Linked DNA regions of Drosophila melanogaster. The protein of the gene in region 1 interacts with the protein of each later gene in a biochemical or structural test. Each region holds a gene or a part of one and is shown in the gene's direction. Other genes may lie near its edges.

Region 1 (5,299 bases):
TCCATTGACAAGCTTTTGACCTGATTAACTGTAGCACTTTCTGTTTCTGTGTACTTTCCCCCATTTGTTGAACGCAGCTTGCATTCGTCACGCATTGGTTGCCATTTCGCTGCGCTGTCTGTTGGCGGAAAACCGCAGGGCGAGTGAGTGAGCAAGTGAGTGACTTTCCCTACCCTCCGATGCCATGGCTAATTTCCGCTATTGTTCATAATTTTTATTGCGCTTGTTGCGAATTAGTTTCGGTTTCGCCCGATGCCAGATCGCAATCCCTCATCAATGTTGCAATTTTTTGCAATTTAAAATTTGTTATAAATCGTCGCTGGTTGAGTTTAGGGGTTGATCCTTGATGTTGCCTTTTGCTCCCTTTTAGAGAGGCGTTGACAACGGCAACAACAAGAAGTGCCTGCGATTACAGGACTGCGAACACGATTGCAATGCGACTTCCTCGAGGGTGGATTTTTCAGCTCGTCCTGTCGCATCTTTAGTTGCATCAGGATGTGGCTGGCTGGGGTGGGTACCCTTACTCTCCTTATGGCCATTAAATTGTGGGCAATTGACCGGTTCGAGGGGTGTGGACATCGTTTAGGGGCAGGTGCCTGAGGCACTGGGATAATTGCGGAAGTAACACGCTGATCGGCACAACAAATTATTGCGATGGACTGGCAGTTTTGTCAGATGGCAAATTTAATGCGAAAGAAATCGTGTTCTATGTTCAATTAAATTGACGGTAAATAATACCATTAGAATATATTTAGTTGAAAGATAAAAGATATCTTTTAAAGGACTTTAAATTAAGAAAAAACTAACAAGGCTGTAGGACTATGTAATCCAAACAGTTATTTTACAGACCATGTTATAAATAACATGCCCATGTAATGTTCGCATTAACAGAACATTCAATTCGAATATCTTGTTAACGTTGTTCGAAAATTAAAAGTAGAAAAAGTCTGTAATGTAAACATAACATAGACCAACACAATTTCTCCTTCAACTGCAGGTTCACATCATTTGATTAACCCCGAATGTTATTTATTCCATAGCTATAGGCGTCCTTTTTGCGAATGTTATTAGCAGAATGGTTCGCTTTCTACCCCTTTCCAAATTTAGGACAATAACATTGCACTAACATTCTAGAGTAGACCTCTGTTCCCTAGCCTGTTCAACGCGTTAACAGAACGTTGACTCAGTTCGAATGTAGACCAACAAACTCATGAAAACAACATTCGCGCAGGACCAAGGGGTGATTTTCGAAAATGTTACGGAAACCTTCTTTTGCGGTGGAATTTTCTGTAAACACTCGGTTACAGGACAAGGCAAAAACAACAATTTACTGATTCAGTATTCAGTATTCAGGGGTTATGATTTTGGTCGAAATCTTTTCCAGACATTACAGCGGTTGAAGAGTTCTAACATTACTACAAATGTACTACCAATGTTAAGCATTTTTACTGTTCAAATAACTGGCAACAGTAAAAACGTCCACTGATTGTGAATAACTCCAAAATGTAATGTTATGATTTATTTTATAAGAAATTTAAATCAATAAATTATTATAAATATTTTTCGAATATTGAATATAATCGAAATAAGCGGATTATAAGATTTGGAAAATTAATTGAAGCTTAGCTCCTTTATAAGAGACTTTATATAACATATTATTTAAATTTAAAATTAGTTTTCATCCAAAGAGCTGCTATGTGTGGCCGAAGCTAACTGCGGTCCGTCCAGGACCTCTTTGTAGTGCCTTAGAAATTCCTAAAACACTTGCTGCCAACGTTTCAGTTCTGTTTGTGCCGCAACGCTCGACACCTGAGCGATTTGAGCAGGTCGTGGCCGCCGAAGAGCGCGTCTCTTATCAGTGATAAGGCCAGCGCAATTCGGAGTTTGGTCATGGTGAGTTTCGGAGTTGAAAGTGGAACAAGCGCTCTCCCAATGAGAGAGCGTGAGTCCGTTCGCTCTCGGCAGGACGACAGCCGAGGCGTCCACCCGCGCACAAATCTAGGCAACAGCACACACTGAAGCTCGCAAAGAAGTTCGGGAGACACACACGGTGTGTGTGGTGGAAAGCCGCTGGAAACCCGAAGTCGGCCACGAACCACCGACCTTCTATTCTGGAGGGGTTTTCCGGGGGATGCGGCGGTGGTGCAACGGCAGTGGCAGCGGCAACGGCGGCTTCTGCCTTTCAGCTGGGAATTTATTTGCGCAAAAACGAAGCGGCTCAGTTTCGTGTTTGTTGTGCGCTCGTAAGGATGTGTCCGCTGGCGCTGCCGGACTTCGTGCGTTCGCGTCGCGTGTGTGCGCGTTTATCCTGACGCTGAATGTATCTCAGCCAAAGCGGCCGAAACGGGCCACGAAAAGTGCTTGAAAATCAGGCGAATAGCTCAAGTGAATGCCAGAATAATAATCATGCATATTGATAAAGCGTTGAGAGAAAATCAAAAATAAAATGCGGCAATCGCTGTCCAGTTCCGTGTTAAGTTTTTATTTGTGTTCGTGTGCTTGGATTCGGAAAGCAGGATCCCAATTACCGACGATCTCGAGGATAAACCACTAACTGATAGAAGGTCCTGCGTTGCGGAAAATAAAACACAGCAAAAAGGTGGTTATCCCCAGATTTGGTGACCCACAAGCATAACTAAACGATTCGAAATCGAGGCAACTGGATGAGAACTGGGTGAAAATTCCAAACTCGTCGTCGTACTGCAGCATATTTAGCATTTTGCATTTTGGGGCGGACTTTTGGATTTATGTTGACCCACTTCGCTAAGCGATTTCCCTTTCAATTTGCGTCTTGAAGCGATGTTTTAGCCAACTTATCCCTCGACCATCTCAGTTAATTAGTTTAATTAGTGAGTGTCGTGGGCCCATCGTTGGTTGGTTAGTCGGTCTGTTCTGGCCCAAAAATCGGTTTGGCATCTCGAGCCAAAATTAAGAACCTTTCTGGCGCAAAGTTTTATTTGAAACTGCTGACCCGGGATTCGGTCGGTCATGCCCTGCCGCTAATAGCCGACATTATTGTTAGGATTCGCTGGTAGTGGGAGTTGGGACTTTTCGGGACTGGACCAAACAAAGGGCCATCGGATCGACTGTATGTGCCATTGAACAAACACCAAGCCAAAACGAGTGAAACCCTTTTTGCGCCACTTTTCCTAATGCCACGACTGCCATTTGTTGGGGCAATAAAAGCCAGCCAGCCAGCGACTTCAGTAAAGATGAAATGAAAATGAAATAAAATAAACAACAATGGCTGGGCAAAATTAAACTAAATTTATTTGCTTTGCCACTAAATTTGCGCTGATTTCGGCAGCAGCTTCACTTCACTTCACTCTCGCATTATGTTGCCCCACTCAAAAAATGTGTTTGTCAACAAAGCCAGCGGAGCGCAAAAATGGTCCTTGGTCCTTGGTCGAATCCCCTTGCACCAAAAAGAAAAAAAATCGAGAGTGTTTGTGCTTAACCTTTTGGTGGAGCCGGATTTCTGGCTCGACTGGTGTGGCACACGTTCAACTATTTTGGAATTTGCGGCACGTGCCCAAATTGCAAACATCAGCAAATAATAATATAAATTCAGCCAGCAGTTCGGGCATCCAAACCGAATTAGTCGAGTGTCCTTTTTACAGTAGTGCTTACAAGATGATTAGGCGTGTGGCTGGCATGTGATACATTTAGCTGCTCGTCGTATAATAATTTCATTGTTGCAGCTCTGCAATTTATAATGCGGCAACAATTGCAGTCGCACTTGCAGCAAAGGCGTGCAACTTGTTGTCGCTGGATGCAAGCCCACCCCTTTGTGGCAACACTTGAGCCGCACAGCCACTGCAGTTGCACTTAAGCTTCCACCGCTGCAGTTGTTATTTCTATTTCTATTCTCTCTCTACTTTTGCACACCCATCGTGAGCCGCCGTCTGGCATTATAATCCGCATCTATGTGAGTCGGTGCAAGTGTATACAGAAGCAAGTGCGCGATGTTGTGACCAGTTTTTTTTTTTTGCAGGAAATATACATCTTGATTGTTGAAGTTGAAGCTGACTCGATCTATGTGTTCGAAGTTTGAGTCCTGCAAGGACTTCGGCGACACCTCTGGCCGTGCTAATTAACCAAGTTCCAGCATTTCCATTTAGCTGACTGCTTTTCTTTCATGTCAAAGCATTTAATTATACTCCTACATTTACCCGCTCCCTCTCGTTTCCCGCTTTCCCCACGCTTTTCACTTTTTTCCACCTTTTTTTTTTACTGCTGGACTTTGCCTGATTTATTTATGCATTTACCTTTGCGAGTTGCCCGTGGAGGAAGCTGCTGTCATGCTGCTGGTTCGTTGTCTTAATTCATTTTTTATTCCAACGTAAATAAGCTGTAAATTACAACTTCTGTTGCTCTGCTGTTTCCAGCTGATGTTGCTGTTTTTGCCGCTGCTCCCTGAATATTTTGTATGATTCTACTCCGGCAATTCCCGGGCTGCTTGTTGCCTGCCTCGTGCTGCATGCTGGAAGCCGCATGCCCCGTGTCCCGTGCCTCATGCCAAATGCAGTGCCATATTTTTTCACTCTTCACTGACGCCCCGTCCCTTTTTTTTTTGCATACACAGAGAAAACGGAGTCAGAGCAGCATCTATTTTAATTGTAAATCACAAGCTTTTAGTCATTCAAACAATAAATCAAATATTTTACAATGAACAAAAGAATAAATAATTAGAGGTAATAAGCTGCATATTAGGATGTTGATCTATACAGTTGGGCAATACCAATTATATTTTTATAAATTATCTTTTATAATTCATAATATTCTTATGCATTTTATTATTTTTCCCAATGTGCATAAATCATTGCGAAAGCGGGAAATGGATGTGCATGTGAAGTGGAAACATAATGGCTTTCCTGTTGCTAAAAAAAAGGACATAAACGAGTGATAAAATATGAAAGTTTTATGAGCAATTGTGAACGGCTGATACACTTTAGACACATATCTGTGTAGCATTGATCAATTTGCGTTGCATACTCGTGTTTTCTCGCTGTGCTGGAAGTCACATCCCGCTGCTTTTTGCTGCTGTTTAATTTAAAGTTTGCCACCCAAAAAGGGGAGCAGCATTGCAGTTGGTGGTGGGAATGTGGGGCTGTCATAACTGCAAATCGGCTACTGACATCCAGCTACTTAACGCTCCTCACTGCCTTCCGCTCGCCGTTTGCGTTTGTGTTTGTGTTTGGGGCATGGGGCATGGGGCATGGGGCATGGGCATTCGGGCATGAAAGCGGCTCGGAACTGTCTGCGGACCCAAAGGGGACAACTGCCACTACTACTTCTA
Region 2 (5,252 bases), about 19 Mb from region 1:
CTTGGACGAGTGTCAGGAGCAGGCGAATGGATGGATTCACAAAGGCCATGGAGCTATGCTAATGAGCTGCCGCTGCCCCCCAAGAAGCTGACAATTAGCCGGGGGCGAGGAAAAGCCGCAAACTGAAACTTGTTGACCTCGTTGCCACAACAGATCTTGGCCAGGCTCAAAACTTAATAAGCCATCTACAATAAGCCATCTACATTTTTTTTTCACAGTTTTTAACCTTCTTTATGGGGCTGGGAAGCCACTTGTTCGTTCGGTTGTGCGACGGAGTATAAAAGTTCGTAATTTAATTTCAGTTTATTAGTCGGAATTGTTTTTGACTCTGCTGCAGCGCACGAGCCTGTTTTCCGATGGCGTCGCGACGCAACAATTTAATTAGATTTTTGTAGACCGTTTCTTTAATTAATTGCATTCAGCTGCAATTAAAGGCAGGTCTGGATATCGAAAGATAACTCGAGTGTCAGACTTTTACTATCGATTTGCCAGTATAAATCACGTTATGTTATAATTTTTATAAAATGGAATATTTATTAAAATTTATCTTAAGTCTCACTATTATATTATTTTAAAGACATTTACAATTTATATAGAAAACTAAAAGAACGTTCTTAGCATGCTGTATAAAATTTTACGTGTTTGAAGCCCTGGCTTAATTCCATTGATTTACCTAATTTTTTGGCCAAAAGCTGACGCCATTTTGAAAATTCACTTGAATCGCCAGAGGGGAGCTGCATTAAATTTTCAAAACCACAAAAAGAATCCTTTGGTTCTTAAAATGTCTGAACAACGCTGACCATGATGATGATGCCAGGGGGAGTAAAAGAACAGAACTCTGGCCGATGGAAGGTACATGGGTCTGGGAACAAAAGGTGCACTCACCTGTCAACGCCCCAAGCACAAACACCATTTACACCACTCCACACCCCACAGCTAGCCACCCACAAAAGTCATGTGGAATGGGTGGCTTAAACTCCAACGTAGTGCAATGAAATTCTTCATCTACAATTCAATGACATTCCATTCTGGGCTTTGGACGGGGCGTGGCAAGTTGCAGGACGCTGCCAATAAGCGTGCCCCCAGTGGAGCAACAGATGATACATTTATGCAGCGCCCCCTCGTGGGCCTGCATCAGGGGGCGTGGCTGCGCATGCGCCTACCGTGCGCGTGGGTGAATCGGGGGTGGGATGGTCGAGCTATGTCATCCGCCCGGCGAATCCCAGAGCAGGCCGCTCAGGATTCCGCCGCAAGGTGCGAGCGAGAGCCGTACATCCACATCCCGTTCAATAATGCGGGTGTCCAGTGGATGAGAGAGGGTGGTTGGGTGGCTGGGTGGTGGTTACTGCCTTTCATTGGCTTCGCATTCAAACCCAATTTCAGCTAGCAGCATTGCGACAGGTGACCGTCCGCCGTTCAGTTCTCTTTGAAGCCTGCCGCGGGTCAGTTGCGTGTCACGGAAAACCCTTAAGTTAACTGCATAGACCTTGGGCTAACCAAACAGTTTTCAGTGATTCCCGATTAAAGTTGAATATCTAACGAAATTTTTGAAATTGTGCAAAATACACATTGAATATTTGAAACAAGAGCAAGCCAACAAAAAATGATGTGAAGTGCTACACTTAAAAACACAATAAATACGACGATAGTTAAAAAATAAATTATCAAAGTGCATTAAGTAATCAAACATATCAAGTGTTAGATGAAGCAAAAGGTACATTTTTAGAATAGTTGATGTTTTATTAAAAATTTAATTTTATAATTAAATACCCATTTTATATATATATTTATATATATATATTGGATTTACTATTTATTTGAGAAACTTTATTTAAGTTAACTTCAAAGCCCAAAGCCCAATACTATAACACTTGACACTTTATTGTGCAAGAATAGGAGTGATTACTGACTTCAAATGAAATACCAGAAAGTTGACGTTACAACGCAATAGAAAAGGGGAGAAAAATGATGAACATGAATCCGCCGACGCACCCGCACCCGCACCATCACCCACATCCTCATCCACACCCACAACCGCAGTCCCATCTCCAGTCGGTGCAGCATCTTGGCCAGCATCAGCCACTGCCCGCCCTGCTCCAGGGCCACCCAGACACCACTCACTTCGTCGAGTGTCGGGCATTACCAGCAATCAACGAGACATTTCCGCAATTTGGCCAGCATCGTCCGGCTATTTCGCTGCTCTCCCCCTTGGATCTTTCATTGCGCGCCGCGGCCAGTGTAGTGCCAATTACTCCACCCTCAACGCCCTCGCCGCCTCGCAAGCGCCAGAGATTAATGTCCGAGGAGAATTACCTGTGGCGTCCGCACATGGCGAGTCCTGCAGCTCCAGCTCCAGTTGTTCCGTCGAGCCTGGCAATGCAGCCGGGCTACTTTCATCATCATCAGCAGCAGCAACATCAACTACCACACCAGCAACATCATCAGCCATATGCCACACGCAGCAGCTTGGAGGGCGCTTCCTTTAATAAAAGTCATTTTCACGGGACGAAAAATAACTTTGAGCAAATTCCGGCGGGTCAATCGAGCGTCAGCTCGCCCATCTACGTGGAAGATGAGACCATTGTGCTGACCGAGGACGAGGATGAAACAGTTGTCAGTTCCCATGACTACAATGAGTACGCCACGGACACGGAGGAAGTCAACGAGGGCGACGATGAGACGCAGCAGGTACAAGTCAGCGTTAATGGCGACGATGATGAGGAAGAGGTGTTTGTCGATGTCCTGGGCAGTGACGATGACGAGGATGAGGCGACGGACCTGGTGGCCACAAGATTGCAGGCCCAACTAATAGAGACCACGGCCCTGAAACGCAATGAACTTCTGTATGAGGATGAGGAGCTGCACAACCAGGCGGTAAATGGTTTGGCCAGACTCTTTGACCGGGATTTTCCAGAGCCAGATGTGGAGGTTTCCGGTTTGGCGGAACTCCAGAGCAACAGCGGGAAGACATACACGGATCTGAGTGGCGTGGCAACGGCGGAGATTAGGACTACCAGTTCCGACAACCTTCCACCGCCTCCTCCACCTCCTCCGCCTCCAGCGACTTCTACAATCCCTGCTACACCTCCACTTCCGCCTCCACCCATATCTCGACCCCACAAGGCGGAACGTAGGAGGTCGAAGCTACGAAAACACATGGCCATCGATGAGGAGACCATAAGTCCAGTTTCTGGCACCATCATTCGCAAATTGCGCGACGACGAGGAGCTGGTGGTGCGCAAAGGCGACATTGATCCGGCTTTTAACGTGGTCGAAATCACCGAGGAGGCCAAGGCCATCCTGGCCAGCATTGACAACAAGATTGGAGACTACATGTGCCAGCTCTGTCGCACTGTCTACGATGATGCCTTTATGTTGGCCCAGCACCGTTGTCCCCGCATCGTTCACATCGAGTACAAGTGCTCCGAGTGCGAAAAGGTTTGTGGTCCGAAGGAAGGATTCGCTTTCCAGGCAACTAAAACACTTTTTCCTTTGCAGGTCTTTAATTGCCCGGCCAACTTGGCCTCCCATCGCAGATGGCACAAGCCCAAAGCGGAGGCGGCTGGAGTTAATCCCGCCAAGAAACGAGTTGTGGAAACGGGCGATCTGGTACAGGAGGCGACTAGGAGCGGCGATGATGCCAGCGATGGCATTTATCCTTGCCATATATGCGGAAAGACTTTTCGACGGTGAGTTAGTAAGACTTTCGGAAAAAAACTATACAATTTAATTAGTTATTTGGTATTTAAAAAAGTTGAAATTTTAAATATTTTTAAGCAGTTAATTTGAAATGTTTATATTTATTTTCCACAAACAACAGTCAAGCTTACCTAAAGAAACACCAGGCCTCCCATCAGATGTTGGATAATCTCAAGAATCTGGATTTCTTCAAGTCCCAGCAGCAGCAGTTGACCATCAATGGCCACCAATTGGCCGATCATGTCCAGCTGCAGCATACAACTGGACAGGCGGTCACATCTGCCGCTCCCTATGCATCCTTGCCACGCCCACCGCCTGGCATGCCCATGTACCCGCCGCCAAGTGGTAAGAACTATCCGGGTGGACAACGCTTTCCGGGATTTCCCTTTCAGTCATTCGATCAGCGTCGATTCTACTCTCTTGGGGAATTTTACCTATCGCAGCACTTGGAACGATCCTCGGCCTTCCAATACGTGCAGGCCAATCACCTGAGGCAACTGTCCAATGTGGCCCAAACTTTGATGCCTCCTCTGCCCGTCAAATGACCCAATCCGAATACGAATGTCCTGCGGCCGGTGCCACGCATTGCGGCAACAGCGACGGCAACGGGACCTCCAGCGGCAGCAACAGCAACAAGGCAAGCGGCAACTGCCGCAGGAGTGTCCTCCGTTGGCCACGCCTTTAATTGGGTGGCTCCGTCGACCGCAGGTGCAACTGCAACGGGAAGTGCAACTGCAACTGCCACGGCGACGACTGCAGAGTCCGGCGGAAATGTTATCATGTGACTTAACAACTATTAGCAGCATTGAATCAACGATCTCTAGTTAAAGTTTAATAAATCAATCAAATTATAAGGACGTCTTTTATTCGGGCTGACAGCTAAAGAAATTTTATTTAAACACATTTCATTTTACCTAAACATTTTTATTACATATACATGTGAATAGTATTCTAAGGTCGAACTCTACTTCTGCTAAGGACATGGGATATTGCATGTGCCAGAAAGGTTTCTTTTCGAACACCTTGAAAAATTGAGGACTTGGGGCCTTGAAATAGTTATTAATAAATAAAATTAATAAATATAACTAGGATACCGTAGAATAGGTTACTCACCCTGTGCAAAAAGTAAGCTTTCAGATGGCATTTGGTGCAGTCGTTTTTGGATCTCAGATTCCGCCTCATTAAATATCTCCGGAAGAAGGCTGATTGTCTCGGTTTCTTCGCTGACATCCAGGCTTGGTTTTGGATAAATGGCATTGGTCATTAAAACAAGAGTTAAAGTATCCTGATCTTTGTGAAGATTAACCAAAGTATCATTCAAAAGCTGCAACTGCTCTCTTTTGTCAATACCCGATGGTATAAATTGCTCCACTATGAGTAGATATCCTTGTTTATATTTAGTAAGAACATTCAAAGACTTATCGACCATCAATTTTAGACTTGGGGCCTTTGAATTACCACTCAAATCTCCATTGGCCATCACACCCATTAAATAATCAAAACTACTAGAATTTAGGGACTCCAGCTCATCCCTTCGCTGAATCAAATCGAAT

Evidence for each region.
Region 2: the proteins of Ptp99A (region 1) and nerfin-2 form a complex in vitro, tested with the Drosophila melanogaster proteins (one study listed by BioGRID).

Annotation. Positions count from the first base shown.
Region 1 is NT_033777.3:29,375,426-29,380,724, forward strand, and holds the start of Ptp99A (protein tyrosine phosphatase 99A), read left to right. Parts: upstream 1-2,220; 5' UTR 2,221-2,599; intron 2,600-5,299. UniProt on the Drosophila melanogaster protein: May play a key role in signal transduction and growth control. May have a role in the establishment of the intersegmental and segmental nerves.
Region 2 is NT_033777.3:10,069,210-10,074,461, forward strand, and holds nerfin-2 (nervous fingers 2), read left to right. Parts: upstream 1-1,907; 5' UTR 1,908-1,965; coding exon 1,966-3,438; intron 3,439-3,498; coding exon 3,499-3,689; intron 3,690-3,820; coding exon 3,821-4,244; coding exon of another isoform or gene 4,245-4,484; 3' UTR 4,485-4,552; downstream 4,553-5,252. Other genes in the region: Alp13 (alkaline phosphatase 13), read right to left, coding at 4,651-4,745, 4,813-5,252.